Linked DNA regions of Schizosaccharomyces pombe. Changing the gene in region 2 together with the main gene of any one other region gives a genetic interaction. Each region holds a gene or a part of one and is shown on either strand. Other genes may lie near its edges.

The links. Genes that interact genetically often act in the same process or in processes that back each other up.
Region 1: of art1 (region 2) and rgf2, extra expression of one rescues a mutant of the other (dosage rescue), as found in Schizosaccharomyces pombe (one study listed by BioGRID).
Region 3: of art1 (region 2) and wsc1, extra expression of one rescues a mutant of the other (dosage rescue), as found in Schizosaccharomyces pombe (one study listed by BioGRID).

What each region holds. Positions count from the first base shown.
Region 1 is NC_003424.3:5,078,758-5,085,578, reverse strand, and holds rgf2 (RhoGEF for Rho1 Rgf2), read right to left. Parts: upstream 4,862-6,821; 5' UTR 4,475-4,861; coding exon 1,972-4,474; exon of another isoform or gene 1,970-1,971; intron 1,917-1,969; coding exon 1,495-1,916; intron 1,451-1,494; coding exon 899-1,450; 3' UTR 524-898; downstream 1-523. Other genes in the region: translation initiation factor eIF4A Tif1, read right to left, coding at 1-16; Golgi alpha-1,6-mannosyltransferase Och1, read left to right, coding at 5,203-6,393. UniProt on the Schizosaccharomyces pombe protein: Stimulates the exchange of Rho1 and Rho5 GDP-bound form into GTP-bound form. Controls septum formation, cell wall synthesis and localization of F-actin patches.
Region 2 is NC_003423.3:2,363,311-2,367,469, forward strand, and holds art1 (arrestin-related substrate adaptor for RhoGEF, Art1), read right to left. Parts: upstream 2,504-4,159; 5' UTR 2,421-2,503; coding exon 969-2,420; 3' UTR 505-968; downstream 1-504. Other genes in the region: PPR repeat-containing protein Ppr3, read right to left, coding at 1-30; SUMO deconjugating enzyme Ulp1, read left to right, coding at 3,807-4,159.
Region 3 is NC_003423.3:1,297,153-1,303,275, forward strand, and holds wsc1 (transmembrane receptor Wsc1), read right to left. Parts: upstream 4,128-6,123; 5' UTR 3,464-4,127; coding exon 2,339-3,463; 3' UTR 524-2,338; downstream 1-523. Other genes in the region: SPOM_SPBC3D6.16 (uncharacterized protein), read left to right, coding at 1-108; SPOM_SPBC30B4.09 (uncharacterized protein), read right to left, coding at 1-81; sqs1 (G-patch and R3H domain-containing protein), read right to left, coding at 4,789-6,123.

The DNA.
Region 1 (6,821 bases), on a different chromosome or scaffold from region 2:
CCAGTTGGTCTACCATTTTAGCAATCTTGCTTAGCTAGGTGAGTGGGTTGTGGAAAAAAAGTTGAAGGGTTGTAATAAATATTTTCTCTAACACACAGTCACACACCTGAAAAATTGTAATAATTCCTGATTATTTTAGTACTTTAAATACACAGACTTTTACTGAAAAATCTATTTAAAAAAATTATAAAAACATTTATGTACACACTTTACTTTTAAGATTTTAGATGTCTTCTAAAAAATGATGTAGCAAGAAAAACCCTACTGAACGTGGCGATAAACTCCTGCACACTCTATCGAAGCCTGCGTTAATGCTGTTTAATACAGATAAGCAACTCGTTGCGAAAAAGTGTATTTTACGTGGTAATATTTGGTGAATGCTAAAACATAAAAAATGTTAAGGAGTTTGGAATGCATATAAAAGCATTTTTTATTATTGTAACACTGTTCATGTTATCTTCAATAGTATGAAAAGTTATCGATTACACATGAGTATTTTAAACAATCACAATAAAAGATAATGAATGAATATGCTGAATGCAGAGAGGTTGTTTATTAGTTGACTAAAGAAATGCATAATAAATCTATGGAAAAAGAATGATTCGTAACAAAAACAGCGTGCAATGTTGAGCAAATTGAAAAAGACACAATTCGTTTAATAAAACACACAATCGTCAATAGCATTATCTCAACCATAGTAAATATATGTACGTAGGAATTTTTAAAGTTATTCCTTAAAGAGATGAAGCAGGGTCATAGATTCTTGAAGCTTAGATTGTAATAGCATATATTATAATCAATTGATGTGGCATGCAAAAGATGTCCGGAGTAGTAAATAGTATTCCAAAATGCTCAAGGAGAAGTTCGCACAAATGTTGACAGTACTGTCATAAACGATCTAAAGTGCAGGACCTGCTGCATTTGCTGGAGGAAGTATTAAAGAATGAACTATAGGATTTTCTCCAGATGAAAATGGAATTGGCTCAGTGCTGTAAAGTATTTCACCTCCTTCACTAATTAACCCTCGGCCATCAGTTAAAAGTTTAATGTTTTGTCCCATTATGATTTGAACGAGTTCGGCTGTTTCGGCATTCCTAATTTCAATGAAGTCCGGCTCAAATGCCAGGATATATGGATAACACAAAGCGCAACCTTGAGGTTGGCCCTCCCAATTAATCATCCAGGATTGCCTAGATTTCCAGCCATTCGTATTAACAAAGAATGCAAAATCTGAATAACAGAGGAGAAATTCTCCTCTTAAGCGAAACATGGCAATCGGTCGAATATCTTCCCTCTTTTCTAAAAATCTAAATGAAGTATCAGCAGGATTTAACAAAGATTGGAATACGGCATTTTCCAAACTTATAATATCGAATCCCTTAAAACTTCCCACACAAAGCTTTGTCTTGAGAAAGTGAACGGACAAAGCTTCCATCGGCATTTGTACCTCCTAAAAAAATGTTAGTATAGAGAAAGAACGACGAGGTAACTCACAGTAAATATTTTCAAAGTTGCTTGATTGCCAAAAGGCTTTTTTAGAGACTGGGTCTTTTTGTTCTTCAAGGCACGATCAGCCTCATAAATCCTCAATGTAGTATTTAAAACGGTGGACTTTACCGCACAGACTAAAATTCTTTGCATACAAAAACCTGTTTTGACGAAACTAACATGACCTGTTACACGTCGCAAAGACTTTGAATTAATTTGTTCTACTGAATCAAGAGCGTCCAGAGGTAACTCGTACAAAATCTTCTCGGCTAAAAGCAATAGAACGTTATGTTCCTCAATTACATCTAGTTGAGAGATATTTGGTAATTGCAGCTTGAAAATGGGTTCAAGACAACTGCCATTATTACTTTTTCGAGAAGAGATATATAGTCCCTTGTAAGTTCCAAATAGTAATTTACGGCCCGCATCTAAAGAGCTGTTAACAAACATTTACTTCTTTAACATATTGTTTATTATACTTACCATAGGCAACGGCACATAATAACTTGTTGCCGGTAAACCAGGACTGACAACATATGCCTCGACTTTCAAATACCAAATGACGCTTTCGAATGATATCTTGCTGTTTCTCAATGTGTTGTTTCCATTGGTCTCTAGCAATCAGTGTATTGAGATAAAGACTTATAGAAAAACCACGGGCTCCAATAAATACTAACTGCAAACCGTATGCTTTAACAGGAGGTGGATTACTTTTTGTAATTGAAATTGGATTAGTTAACAAAGCAGAAGATGGTCGACGCGGAAGGCTACCTCTCGATGGCGAGTCTTCGATGTAAGAAATCGACAACAATTCTAAAGGTAATGGCCTGAGATGCAGTTTATGAACTCTTCTTTTCATTTGAATCTTTATCTTACACAACAAGAGAAAATTGTCCAGTAAAAACATGTGAATGTCGTTTTCAGTGTCCCCATTCGAATAACTACTGGCTTTTAGCTTGACGACGCCTTTGAAAATCAATAAGCGAGATGGATCAAACAATGTTAATTTTGCTCGATCCGCAGGGCTGCAGGAAAGCTGTTCGTTTAACTGTAACAACGAGAGTCTATTTTCAGTCTTCCCTGTTTCATAGTTAAGCTTAGTAAGAAATTCACGAATCATTTCGATTACACGAGGAATGTTTTCCGTATCAGGATTATCTTTATCAGTGTACTTAAGAACTCCACTTAATAGTAGCGGATACCTCGCAAGGCGAGTCGTAGGCTTGGTCAAATAACCATTAAGTTCTAGTTTTCTAGACTCTCGTAATCTTTCCACTTCATGAACATAATTCGCAAAATTCCTATTCGTACTTTTTTCACGCTCAAATTCAAACTTGGCAATAGCCTGATTGGCACCATATTTTATAAAAGGCTCAAATTTAGGAACATAATCTAAGAAAAGATCACCAATTGTGTTAACTACAGGTTGCAGAGTTTGAGTACGGTTTAGAGCATTTGACAAACGAGAATTGACAGCATGGATTTGCATGATATTATGAAAAACGCAACGTATAAATTGTTGTCGGTTGTTTTCTGGTATTACATTTGAGGTTGAAAGAGGCTTAATCCAAAAGTCACGTATATACTCTAGGTCTCTGACGAAGTCCCGTTCTGTGTAAATAACCTCAAAAATGATTTCCTGTCTTTTCCATTCACGGACATCGATCTGGTCTACAACTTGCTTAGGAACATTTTCCGACCATAAACGATGATCTTCCTCTTGTTTATCTGTAATCGAAGTTGATCCCCCACTTAATACAGGTTGGACCTTCAAATGGAGACGGGCCTGCTGCTCTAGTCGACGTGGGCAAGATATAGAATAGCAAAGGCGATTACGAGAACATGTAGAGGAGTAGCATTCCGTTAAAAGAGTAAACACTCCATGAGGATTGTATTCGGTTTCAGGAGCTTCAGGCTCCTTAGTAATTGCGCTTAGGGATGAGGTGATGAAAGCTAAAGAATTTACCTGTACAGACGAGGAGATGGTAGGTGTCGTAGAAGAATCAGATAAAACAGAGTCAAATGAATCAGACGTGTTCGCTCTTCTTTTTGTGTAGAGAAAGTTATTTTCGATCGACGATCCATTGGAATCCATCGAGGAGAGACCAGGAGGAGGAGAAATGATACGTCGGTACTGGTAAACTTCCTTGAGCGAGTCGCGAAGTCTATGAGAGTAAGTAACGTCATGAAACATCTTTTGCGAATCCAGGGCTCTTCCTAAAAGTAACGCCAAATTCCTGTCAGTCGTCCGAACTATATGCATCAATACATCGACAGCTTCCGATCCAAGAAAGGCATCTTTATAAAGAAGACCATCCTTCACACGGTCACCGATGTTAAGACGCTTTCGGAACTCAACGGCGACTTGAGAAAGAAAAGCCGGATGTATATAAGGGCGACGAGATGAGGTAGAATTGGAATGCGAAGGGGCGATGTTCGAAATCGCAGATGCAGACTTGGAGCCTGAGTGATGCTTAAGTAAGACGGCAGTTGATCCTTCAGGAAAAGATGGCATGGGTGCATTAACATGGACGCTATTTTTTCGAATGTTAGGATAAGAACTGCCATTAGATACATCAGAGACGGAAAACGACTGGCGAGTATGGGGTCTACCGAGCGATTGTATTTCTTTCCTACTACGTGCATGAGAAATGCCAAAATCATCTGTGGAGGAAGAACGGCGATAAAAATTATTTTTTTTATTAACTTCTAAGCCATCTCCAGGACCCGAATCTTTTCTGGATAGCGAAGAGGGAGAAAAGCTAAGGCTCGATGCAGGACGAAAATGATTGCCATCATTTTCATTAAGGGATGTGGTAGATGATAAAGCGGTAGGAGAATGTGTGATAGAGCCAGAACTCCTTCTTTGGAACAGTTTTTGGCTACTGCTAAATGATGAAAAAATACGAAATCCTTTAGCTGCTTTACCAAACGATTCATGAGACTCAGAGTTTATATTTCCATTCTGAGCTCCATTGCGAAGCATTTTCTTGTTTGTTGATTCTAATTTTACTACCCTCTCGAGGTATCGCAAGTTTTAGAAAAACGGCGCTATGCAAAGGGGCTTTTCTGATACCAATCGTCCGTACCGACACAACAACAGAAAGAGAAGAAAGATATTTTTCAAATTCAAGTAGTACCTTTTTTTTTAACGCTCCAATTACTTTCAACAATAAAAGGTTCTACAAGACAAGTCGTCTTATTTGAACATGGAAACTTCACCAAATTCCTCTTATTATACACGAGAAGCCGGAGTACGTATATTAATGCCAATTCTCCGGCTTTCCAATTATTCAAACAGCTTGGATACTCAAAAGAACGGATTTGAAGTGGATCGCTGCTTACACTTCTATATTATGGGTGGTGCTTTGGGTAACCTTTTTCTGTTATTGTGTACATACACCTAACACACACCGTTAACTACAGCCGACAATACTTGGACTGATATTACGCACGGTACCGCAATCAAGTGTGGCTGTTGCTATTATAGAGTAATATCACATTAAAGCCCTTCGATTTTCGGGTCGCTTGTGCGAAGTTAAAGTAAGAGCATCTGCGCAAACTCAGCCAGAGCGCCCACCTGTGTTTTGCTGCGATTCTATGAAAAACCGCAAAATCTGTATCCTAGCTGCATTAAGTACACATTAATGAGTCTTTGTTAACGAACTAAGTAATTAATTGATACATTGAGCATTAGCATATAACGAGTTCAGCATGTTGAGACTCCGATTGAGAAGTATTGTAATAGGAGCTGCGATAGCGGGATCCATACTGTTGTTATTCAATCATGGTAGCATAGAAGGAATGGAAGATTTGACAGAGATTTCGATGTTGGAGGATTACACTCCGGAAGCCGCTAATAAAGATTATGTTGGTCAACAGGAGGAGGAGGAACTTTTGTATGATCAACCGTCTTACATTGAAGAAGAAGAAGATCCAGATTTGGAAGCTTACTTGAGCGATTTGGAGAGGGAAGAGCTGGAACACAGCTTGGAAGAACTTGATGAAGAAAATAATTATAAACTTCATCTACGGTACTCCTTTTCACAGCTTCAAGATTTTGACGAAGAAAATGAAGCTGTACACATGATCGTTCCTAAAGATACTTATGAATTTGAGGTGCCTTATCACGCTGACATTCCCAAGTTAATATGGCAAACTTCCAAGGACCCTTTTGATAGAGAGGTTATGAAGTACACTCGGTTTTGGAGAATCAACCATCCCAGTTATTCTCATGCTGTTTTAGACGATGAGCAGTCTAAAGCATTGGTCATCAGTAGCTTTGGCGATTCATCAGTTTCCAAGATTTCACAAGCGTATGCAATGATGCCTCTGCCTGTTCTGAAGGCCGATTTCTTTCGGTATCTAGTGTTATTGGCAAAAGGTGGTATTTATAGCGACATTGATACGGCACCATTGAAGCATATAAACAATTGGATCCCTCGTGAATATCGTAAGCGTAATATTCGACTGATCGTTGGCATTGAAGCAGATCCCGACCGCCCTGATTGGAACGACTACTATGCCAGGCGTGTACAATTCTGTCAGTGGACCATAGCTGCTGCACCAGGCCATCCAATTCTTTGGGAACTTGTTCGTAGAATTACCGATGAAACTTGGAAGCTGCATGATTCAAAGAAGCTTTCGAAAAATGGCGAGTCAGTAATGGAGTGGACTGGTCCAGGTATTTGGACCGATGCCATTATGGATTATTTAAATTGGCAGTATGGCCCTTTCTCGGTTGAGAATATCACCAATTTAGAAGAACCTTATCTTGTTGGAGATGTTTTAATCCTACCCATAACTGCATTTAGTCCTGGTGTCGGTCACATGGGTAGCAAGTCTCCAAATGATCCGATGGCGTATGTTCAACATTTCTTTGCCGGTTCATGGAAAGATGATTGATCGTTTGAAATGTGGGTGGGTGGTCATTTCTTGGTATAATGTGCTTAAAGTGTTCGAACCGGGCAATTCGATAATACTAAATACACGCATTTGATCTGGTTTGGAAACTGTTACGGGTTGTGTTCGAGCAATTTTTGTAAATTATAGCTTGCGCAAACAAAAAAGTTTCTTTCGTGGTTGATTTAATCTTTCCCTCATAATTCTACATCTCTTTACGATTAATTTTGCATGTATTTTGTACGTTAGCCAATCAAGTTGGCAATATTGGTGACATTATTGAATTATATGAAGCCAATGCTTATGTCCTGATGATCAACTTTCTTTTTTTTTTTTTTTTCAGCGCTTTCATCAACGCGTTTTATAGCTCAGCACTATAATATTTTCCCTTGTAAACTGTTTTGAATTCTAAAGCTGTTTGTTTCTTTCAA
Region 2 (4,159 bases):
TGTTAAAGAGCCAGAACATTTGTTTAGCATAAGGTACAGTAGCTTCTGAAATCTCAAAAATTAAAGATGTTTGATCTTTTTTCCTGATAAAGTAGTCAATAATATATAGATATTAATACCTGGATTGAAACGTATATTTTGTGGATGGAAAGTTAAGTGGGTATTAAACGCTTTGATAATGATCTCGTATTTTCATTCCTCAAAAGAAATTTAATTGCTAATATTTTAAACTTTTACTTCTGGTTATACTACTATAAGAATGGATTATACAAACTTAAGGAAGAGGTGTGGAAAAATTTTACTCACAATGAGCTTAATATCTAATAAAATTGTAACTGATTTAAGAGTGTAACCGTATACTGGGCTATTAGATAACAAAATGCAATCGTTATATATATTAAGCCTTACTCAGATTTAAATGCTTACTACATCTTTACTTTCAAAGCCACATACATGAAAGTGGAAACGCCGACATAAGTGCAGCCGATGTGATATTCAAACCACATAAAAAAGGAAAGTAGTACATTATATAAGCAGGTTTAAAGCTGTTTTTATTAAACTAAAACCTACTCTGAATAAAGTGAGATTTAAACTGTTGACACAATTTAAAATAAATAGTCAGTTGTACAAAAAAGCAACCAAATAGTGACCAAAAGTCCCACTTGCTAAATCTAGTGAATAAATAAAACAATGAAGACATATTCAATAGAAATTGATTTGATGTCGAAGAACAGGAATACTTTTTAAAACAAAACAAAAACAAGAAGACCATTATTTTTACTCATAGCTTTTGAAACCAAACAAAAAAACGAGGGACAAATAAATAAACAAAGTGGGTATTTAATTGCAAACCAAAGGCTTGCAAATATCGAAAAACACAGGGAAATACAGAGGTAAGGCTTATGATCAACAATATCGGGATTTACATTTGTAGTAAAGCACAGATTGAGCTTGAAAAATGTAACTTCCTAAGATAACAGGACAATGTCATCATTCAAATAAGCAAACATATTATTTTTGGAAAAATCTGAAGCTCGCACAATCCTAACGTTTTCTTCGAGGACAACGCCTCCGTGGCTTTGGCGAACGTCAAGGACTCGGGTTTGAATTTCATTAAGTAAGGCTTGACTTCGTGATCGTTCCACTGGGGAAACAATAATTGGGTTTGTTATTTCAATGTTTCTAGCACGATATAATTGTACTTTGATGACTAGCATGTATTGTACAGAGTAAAGATCAGAGGTGGTCGTGAATCCAGTGATATTTGCATCTTCAAAATCAATGTCGGGGAAAGGTTTAGAAAGGCTTTTCGATAAACCTTCCGATGTAAGTTTCATATCATCCAAATCTTCTTCGTAACGTAATACTTTCTTTTTACGAACTATTGGGCTTGAAGAAGAGGGATGTATGAACGTGATGTATTCAACCAAGGAAAGAGAAAGTTGCTGTACTCGTATTTTAGAACCATTATTAGGCATGATGGAAACGAAGACGGAGACGAGATCCGAAGGTCCAATACACAGTTTGGGTATTGATACCTCTACTACAACACGACCATCGCTACTCACTTGCCGAATATTAGTAGGGGAATTATACATCCCCCAAGAAGATAGATTATCATACCTGCTGAGTGACACTGGTACAGTGGTAGTAATATCCGGTACCCCTAGTAAACTCATGTGAGCACGTAGTTCATATTTCGTGGAGCATATTGTACCAGACCGATTCAATTCAAAAGTCGATGGAATTTCTGAATTTTCGGGAAACGGGATTTCAAAGGGAAGGTCCATTGACCATACCCTATGAGTAGCGTAAGGATCTGAAGAAGAAGAGAGTATAGGAGTTTGGTCACCAAAAGGAGTGATAGATGTGTCATTAGAGGAAGATGTGGTGGATACTGATCTAAACGGAGTGTAAGGAGGTTGATATACCGAAGATCCAGAGGCATTAGGAAGATGAGGTGGAGGGATAGGTGGAGTAGTACGGTTATGAGTATGAACAGAAGGATTATCCTGATCAGACGCATAAGAATCTACTATCCAATCGCTAGTAAGGGAGGGTGGAGGTGATTTGATAGACAAATCGCTGATAGAATAATTATTATCATTAGGAGGTATGTTATTTTCAGGATGCTCGGAATGAAGTGGAAACAAAACCTGCCTTGCCAGACACTTATTATCTGATAAGTGATTACTTATACCCAAGGATGGTATTACCACTGATTCAATTTTCCATAATTCTAACGTTATTTGAACCAAAGCCAAAGGTTGGTGAATTTCTTTACTTCGAACTTGGACGATACCAACCAACCTTGGAGCTGAAGTTGGTATCCCATTAAATCCAGCTTGGAAATCCAAATGTGGTAACGGACGTATCTCCAAAGGAGAAAATTGCCGTATTAGCGTACACGGGGATGTCATGCTCTTACATTTAGTGAGTTCCTCTGGCTTGGTGCTGGTTATGGGAAGTTGAATCTACCAAATGGTAGACAGGTTGGTTCAGTGCAGCAATGTCAGATCTAGATAGCTAAATAAAATCTTTTAAGCACTCGCTTAAACACTGCTAAGTGACTTTTTATAGCAATGAAATTAATAATATTTTATTATATAAAAATCTAATTTTAGGCCAAAAAATGTACTTTTGTTTCCATTCCATAGAATTAAAATCAAAAGCCTACAATTGATAGCCAAGCATCTAAAGCTAGTATCTGTTGTAAAAAAGTTCCATTTTGATTACAATAGTAAAAACTAAAATGACTTTAATAGCCTAATTTTGAAATTGGTATTTTCAACTTAAAATTCACTTACGAAAGCCTAAAATATGTTTATTCTTACAGCAGAAGGCTTTTTTTTTGAATTTTTGAATTTTTGAAACCATAACACACGATTGATCGCAACATACATATACGAAATATAGAAGAGAGACTGAATTCAAACGAAAACAATATAGCAAGATATCAGATTATTGAGCAGCAGAAGAAAGGGAAATAAAGCAAGTAAATACTATTTTACTAAAAATCAAACGAATCTCTAAAAGAACAGATATTTCACGCATAGTTAACAGACAATGCATAACAAAAAATTCAAAATCGAGAAAAACAAGAATCAAGAGCAACTGGTAATGCTAATTTTTGATAGTTATATGAGCCGTAGTATGATAAAAAACCCCGGCGATAATTGAGGAAATTCATTGCTGATGTACGACTCTTTTCTATCTAGGAAATAATGATTGTTTGAAGGATAACCTGAATATAGGGCTTTCTGTTCATTCAAAGATCCCTTCAGGAAGTGTTAAATGGTTTGTATAAAACTAACTCACATTTTCCGATTTATCTTTTCATTTTCAGGGCATATATCAGAACTTAAAACAATTTACTAGTAGCGATACGCTACCACTTACTTATTAAACGCTTAAAAGAGTAACACAGTGTACTGTCATGAATGTATATTTTATAAAAGCAATATGATATTTAATTTACATTAATATACTTGTAAGCTTCTCACGGCTAAAAGTAGTGATAGCCCACATTGAAGTAGGATTTTAGTGTAATGAAATCAAACACAGTAGGCCCTAAAGATAAACGGACACTTACATGTTAAGCAACATAATTTAAAATCTTACAAGCAAAGCTAGCGGCTCGAAAGCCAAACATTGTAATATAAACACAAAAAGTAGTTTGTTTACAGTAAATACCGCAATACTCGTATAACGAGGTATTTTCACAACGTAAGCAAGAACGCGCTCATCCTTCCAGGTTGTTGTGTGTCACAGCCTCTCGCGATTCACCCTTTACAATTCACTCGTGAATGATAGGAAAACGCAATGCGTCAAAAAGGACGCGTCAGGATGATTGTATTACATATGAAGAGTATCAAAGGAAACGTAAAAAGACATTTTTGAACACGTTTGTTAATATTTGTTCTCGTACAGTTACTTATGCAAAACTTTTTTTGACAAAAACTCCCATTTCTGAATTGGATCGCATCGCTGGCGAGGCGATACCATCTAATAGTAATAGTACAAATTCAAAACTAGAGCCTTCTACTAAAGCCCCTGAATCTCGGTTTTCTCACATAAATTCCAAGACTGAACGTGGTTACGTGACGGTCGAATCTGATATGTCTTCTCACAATACTCTTGACAGAAATAGTAAACCTAC
Region 3 (6,123 bases), 1.1 Mb from region 2:
ATTCCACATTCTAGAAAAAAAGTTTCCAGTGCTCATTTTAATCCTTCGACTCTGTTGTTTCTCCTGAAACGTCTGGGCCATCCTGTATACCTAAGAGAGGGAGAGTAAAAAAATATATATTAACAAACAGAAAACAGGGTTTTTAGTAATTGAACACGCAAGAAAACCAAGGATATGCTAGTCCTAATCGAATTGCTCGTTCGTTGATCAATATAAAAAGAAGGTTGATTCAACGGGGTCCACAATTAAGGTAGTTCTTAGCGAACAAGAAAATTAACCAAAAATTGGTCTTATGAATAATTAAAGGAATTGGATTTATGAAAAGCTACTACAAAGCTGTTCCGCAATGAGTTATAATGCTGCCTACTTAAGATCTAAGGATAAAGGCAGTAGGTAAGTGTACAGAGAAGTGGAAATCTCTCTCTTTTTATATATATGTGGGTGTAAATACGTGTGGGGGGAAGGCTGAACTACTACACGTCACACAATAGGGAAATTCGTCAATAAATGACGCAGCTGCGAATCCCTGTTTATTTACGCTTGCGAAAAGACGGAAAAAATTTTATTCAAATTCTAACAAGAATGTAGTAAACAATGATTAGGTGGTGCAACGATTTACACTAAACCACTTTCAAATCAAAGCGTTAAGTGATTGTGAACGTATAAATAAAAAATGGGATGGATTGAATTTGGATTATATGTTTAAATAATTAAGTGGAATTTAACTAAAAAGTACAACAACAATATCATGAGACGATCTAACTGTCAAGAAAAGAAAAGGAACATTTTTAATGATTCGGTAACAACCCAAATTCTTCTATAAAAAAACAGGACTTTTAACAGCAGCCTTTTCTTTTCGTTTTATCCTTGTTTTCTTAGCTTCGTCTTCAAGTTAAGGTCCTCAATGGGCCATTGATGAATAGTAAATCAAAAGAAAGGAGGGAATAAAGGGGGGAGCTGCATATAAACCACAGCGTATCACAACACAATGAATGAATGGTGAGATGGCACGCATTTGCATAATTGACACTGAGACTGACATTTGAAGTGCAAATTACGCTTGCATACGACTTTGGATACTTTATGCTTATAACTTGTTGGTTAATAGTCGTCCGTTAAACTTTTCTCTTTCTCTGTCAATTTTTTTCCTCTTGTTTCCTTATTTCCTGTTCCCTTCTCCCTAATGGTTTTGGAAGAGTAAAAGAAATAGGAAACTAGAAAAACCAAAGACGTACTTGACTTGTTGAAACTTATAAAGGAAAATAATAACCGCAAGTATCTCCCGTGCTAAGATCAAGTTGGTGTTACACAATATTATACAAAAAAGAACCATCATTTAATTTATCCATACATTGCATAAATGAACCTGACACACCAAGCACACGTGTATATAACAGGTAAGCAAACGGTATATATATACGATACATAGATATCCAATACATATACACCTGTCCACTAAATAGCATGAAAAAGGGACAACAAAAACAAAAAAAGAACAAGAGAAAGGATAAAAAAAGAAGATAAAGAAAGGAGAAGTAAATAAAAATAAAGTAAAAAGAAAAAAACCATAACGTGCACAAATTAGGTAGCGCCAAGATCTAAACAAATTAAGATGTAGACCAGGTGAAAAGTGGTTTTGTGAAGATCAAACACCAATCGACCAGGAAAATAAAGAAAAGAGAAAACTTAGCGTGTTCATCATATTGAGAAAGGGTAGACAAATGTACAAAAGATCGCTACTAGACAATAGCGTCAAAGACACAAAAACAACCAATTAGATAACAACAAAAAGAAGTAAGACAACGAGAAAAGAAAAGGAAAAAAATAAAGAAAGAAATAAAACCAGTTTTGCCAAAACAACTATTGCATAGGAGTTTAGCCTTTCCAAATTATCTTATTAAATTTAAAAAAAAAATCAAGGTTTAGCCGATAAATCAAGCCAACTTTGCTTTCTTTCCCAAGTCCCAATTTCATCAATTCATAATTGACGGTTATAGAAAATAAAGATAAAGCGAAAATGAATAAGAAAAAAATATGAAACTGATTTGTCACTAACACTGCAACGGTTTAACACATATTGAAAACAAATCCAGTTTCCCGAAAGAAAGATAAAGAGAAGAAGAAAAAGTAAAGAACGAATAAAATAAGGGAAAATAAATAAATAAGATTATGCCAACAGAGAACCGACCATAAAGAACTTTTTATCGTTACCAAAATGATCACTTTTCCGATCATATGCAAAAGATTTGTAGCATACGATTATGAAAGTCATAAACACCATAAAGAAGAAATAATTTTTTGGTTGAATTTAAATAAAGTAAAAAAGAAAAATGTTGTTTTAGTTCAAATTTGTGACACGCAATATCTTTCTCGAATAATCCTGACTGTCAGCCAAAGATTCACTTGATTTGCGATTCATCATGGCAGGATCCAAGCGAGAATCTAATTCACTAGCATAGGAGGGATATTTTCCTTCATTTGCCGAGTCGCTCATTCTAATTTTGAATCTCCTGAAATAGAAGTATAGGAAAATGCACAATGCCATTACCACGGCGAATGCCACACAACCGATAACAATACCCACAATAGCACCTGCATTCAAGGACGTATGGTTTGACGCCTTGCTTGCATTTAGAGCGAGGGCAGCCGTACTGCTTGGAACTTCACTACTGGTTGAAGAAGAGGAACTGCTTGGTGTTACTGTGACAGTAGAAATAAAAGTAGATGAGGACATGGTCGTGATAAACGACGAAGACGAAGATGGCCGACTAGAAGATGAAGAGGAAGATGAGCTTGAAGATGAAGAAGAATGAGAAGAACTGGTGGAAGACGTTATTGGTACGGAAGAGGAAGAACTAGAAGACGAAGAGCTGGAAGAAGACGAAGAAGACGAAGACGAAGAGGAAGAGGAAGAGGAAGAGGAAGATGAGGAAGAAGAAGAAGAAGAAGACGAAGAAGAAGAGGAAGACGACGAAGACGAAGAAGAAGAAGAAGAAGAAGGAGATGTTGTTGTTGTAGTTGAAGATGAGCTTGGAGATGATGATGAAGACGAAGAGGTCGTAGACGACACTGACGAGCTAGAAACCGTGGTTTGCAAAACCCCATTGCCAGTCAGATAAACCGACCAGTACAGATCACCACCACACATAAGAGAACCATAACCTGGACAAGGCGTTGTGCAAAGAGAACTTGAAACTTCTGTAGCAGTAAGTGTACTACCGCAATAACATTGATTATTACGGATAGCTACAAATGCTATATTATCAGATCCACCACAAATGTTGTTATAGCAATACGCTGGATCAAGATAGGTAAACGTGCCTTGTTCAGTTAAGCTACTATCCACGAGATAACAGCCATATTGAGTGTTCATGTCAGCCGCCACCAACCGAGTAGAAATTATCAAAAGGTAAACAAAAAATAGTAACCTCCCCTTAAAGGGAGAGGAATTTAAAAAGACCATGGAAATTAAATCGTGCGTAAGTATAATAGGAATGAAAATTAAAACTTAAATTTGGTAATAAAAATTTTGCCCTCAGTAAATTAAGTTGTTTTGTCTATAGACTAAAGAGAAAACAAATTATTGGACCAGTTAAGAGAAATATTATCAAAAGGCGCAAACCGAATGAAAGAAAAGAAAGATTGGGTAAATAAAATAAAGAGCGTAAAAATTCAAATGCCAATGAAGAAAATAATTGTTGCAAAATCACTTCTTTATCAACATGAAAAAGAAAACAATAAAGGATAAAGGCTCAGCAACGCAAAATCAAGAATTATTAAGACCGAGCAGTTGGTGAAAAGTACTCAATATCCAACTTCGTTTGTTCCGAAATTAAAAACAGAATTTAAAAAAAGAACGAATAAAAAGTAAAGAGTAAAGATTAATTCAGAATTAAAAAAGAACGCGAATTCCTGAAGTTCAACAAAATACTCGGGGACGAAAGTACAAACCCGTACCGAACTTGGCTATCCACAGAGCTTCCGTTTGAATCGTTTCTTCGAGCTTCCCAGGCTTGAAAACTCCTTTACTTTAAACAATACACTAGTTCCTTAATAAGGATACAGTGTTTGACAGATTGTCGTCAAAAAACACTTAAGAATTCGATTAGTTGTTAAGTGGAAAAGTTAGCTCCGACGGGCCCCATAAAGGCTGAAGTCAGTCGAACCTAGGCGAACACTATTGACCCTTACCGAAACGGTATTTTTGCCTTATACTATTTAACGAATGAAAAAGGCTCCGATTGATACTTGGTTGAAACTGCGAATAGTGCGATGTTGGGTATCACTATTGACCGATATTGCCTGTTAAAATGACCTAAACGTTACTTTACATAACTCCTTATACTGTATTACACGTGTTATATATTAAACGCTAACTGATTTTACGATTATCTTCTTTAAATAGCAATAATAACTCTGTACACTGCGATATCACCGTTTTGTAGAACTTCTTTAGCTGCAGTATGCCCATAGCAGCAACTTACATATTCAATTGCTCCTGTAGTGAGAATAATTATTCTGTCTATTTAAATGAAGTTTATATCTTAAAATAAAAGATAGTTATCTTTCTGGATTTCCGGTTTATCTCTTGAATGGAAAGACACCATGTCGAAGTACCCACGGTTAATTTTTTACTTCACATCAATATGTACAAATCGCTAATTTGAATATGATGCTTAACCTAGAATAGTATATATTTATATATATATATATATAAATTGGAGTATTATCTCAAGTAAATAAGACACAGCTGATTAGTTTCTCGGTTTGACCAGTCACCCTGGTTTTCTAACCTAAACCACTTCTGCTAACTTTAACAATAGCACGTAAACTATCTTTGGAACCTTCATTTTCGGGATGACCAAGTCCTTTACCTGCATACCATCCTAACTTTTCGAGCAACCGACGACCTGGATTTTCTTTGCTAATTTCAGGGGCATCTTCTCCAACAATTTGGCCATCATATACACGTGTGGCTTTACTCGACCTCACAGAGGAAACAGTCATTCGAGATTTCCTACCAGATTTGGAAAATGACTGATACTCAACCCTGGTCTGTAAACGCTCCATAATCCTGGTAAGTGAAACCAAATCCACACTAGATGCATCAAATTTATGAGTTTTGGAAAGCATAGTATACCGCTTGTTTCCAGATCCATAACTTCTCGACTTCAAGTTCAAATCGTTGGCAAGCGCATGAACCAATCGACGAACATATTTTCTGCATGGAGGAAGGGAAATTTCTTCAATGGCCGAGTGCTTAAACTGTTGCATCCGTTGATAAACATCATTTATAAATATCTTATCAATTCGTGTAAGACTAGCATTGTCAGAATCGGAAGAAGACGGCTTCTGGCTTTCGCGCAAAAGTTTCTTTTTGCTTTTCTTTCCAAGTAGCCCCTCAGAGCGGAGTTTCTCCCTTTCCGCTCGTCTTCTTGCCTTTTTGCTTTTATCTTTAAGCCATTGTTCTTGCAATTCAGCGTACAAGTTCATGCTCTCATCGTCCAAAGAATTGGAAAAGGCATCTCCCATTCTAGCGGCCACAGCCTTTCCTGCCTTTCTCTCTAATTTCTTTTGAGCTTTACGCATTTTTTTAGGAAGTTTGCGATCTTTTTTCAAACCTTTTTCTTCTTTTACCTTCGCCCCTTTTTTGCTTTGAGAAACTTTTTCCGTTTTTTGAGTTGAGGGGTTATTGTACTCTTCATCCTCACTGTCATAATCATAAATAGTAAAATCATTTTGCAAAGTATCTCCAATACTAAGGTATGCCTCAATCTCGGAATCATCACTAGCATCAAAAATTGCCAAAAGCTCTTCTTCATCTTCATCTTCATCTTCTTCCAAAATATCATCTTCATCTTCGGCTAATGAATCTGTATTTCCCACAAGTTCCGTCGTTAACTTAGCATAATCATAGTCATCTGATCCCTCATCAAATTCTAAAGATTCCGAATCTTCAAGTGAAAAATTTACTTTACCCTCTGTCTCATCGTAATTTGATATTTCAGGTTTTTCTTTCTCCTCTTCCTCCTCTTCTTTCTCTCCTTCTAGCTCTTCATCTTCGTCCTCATCATCATCATCTTCTTCTAAAACGGAGAGGTCGGCAAACTTGTTCATAGTAAA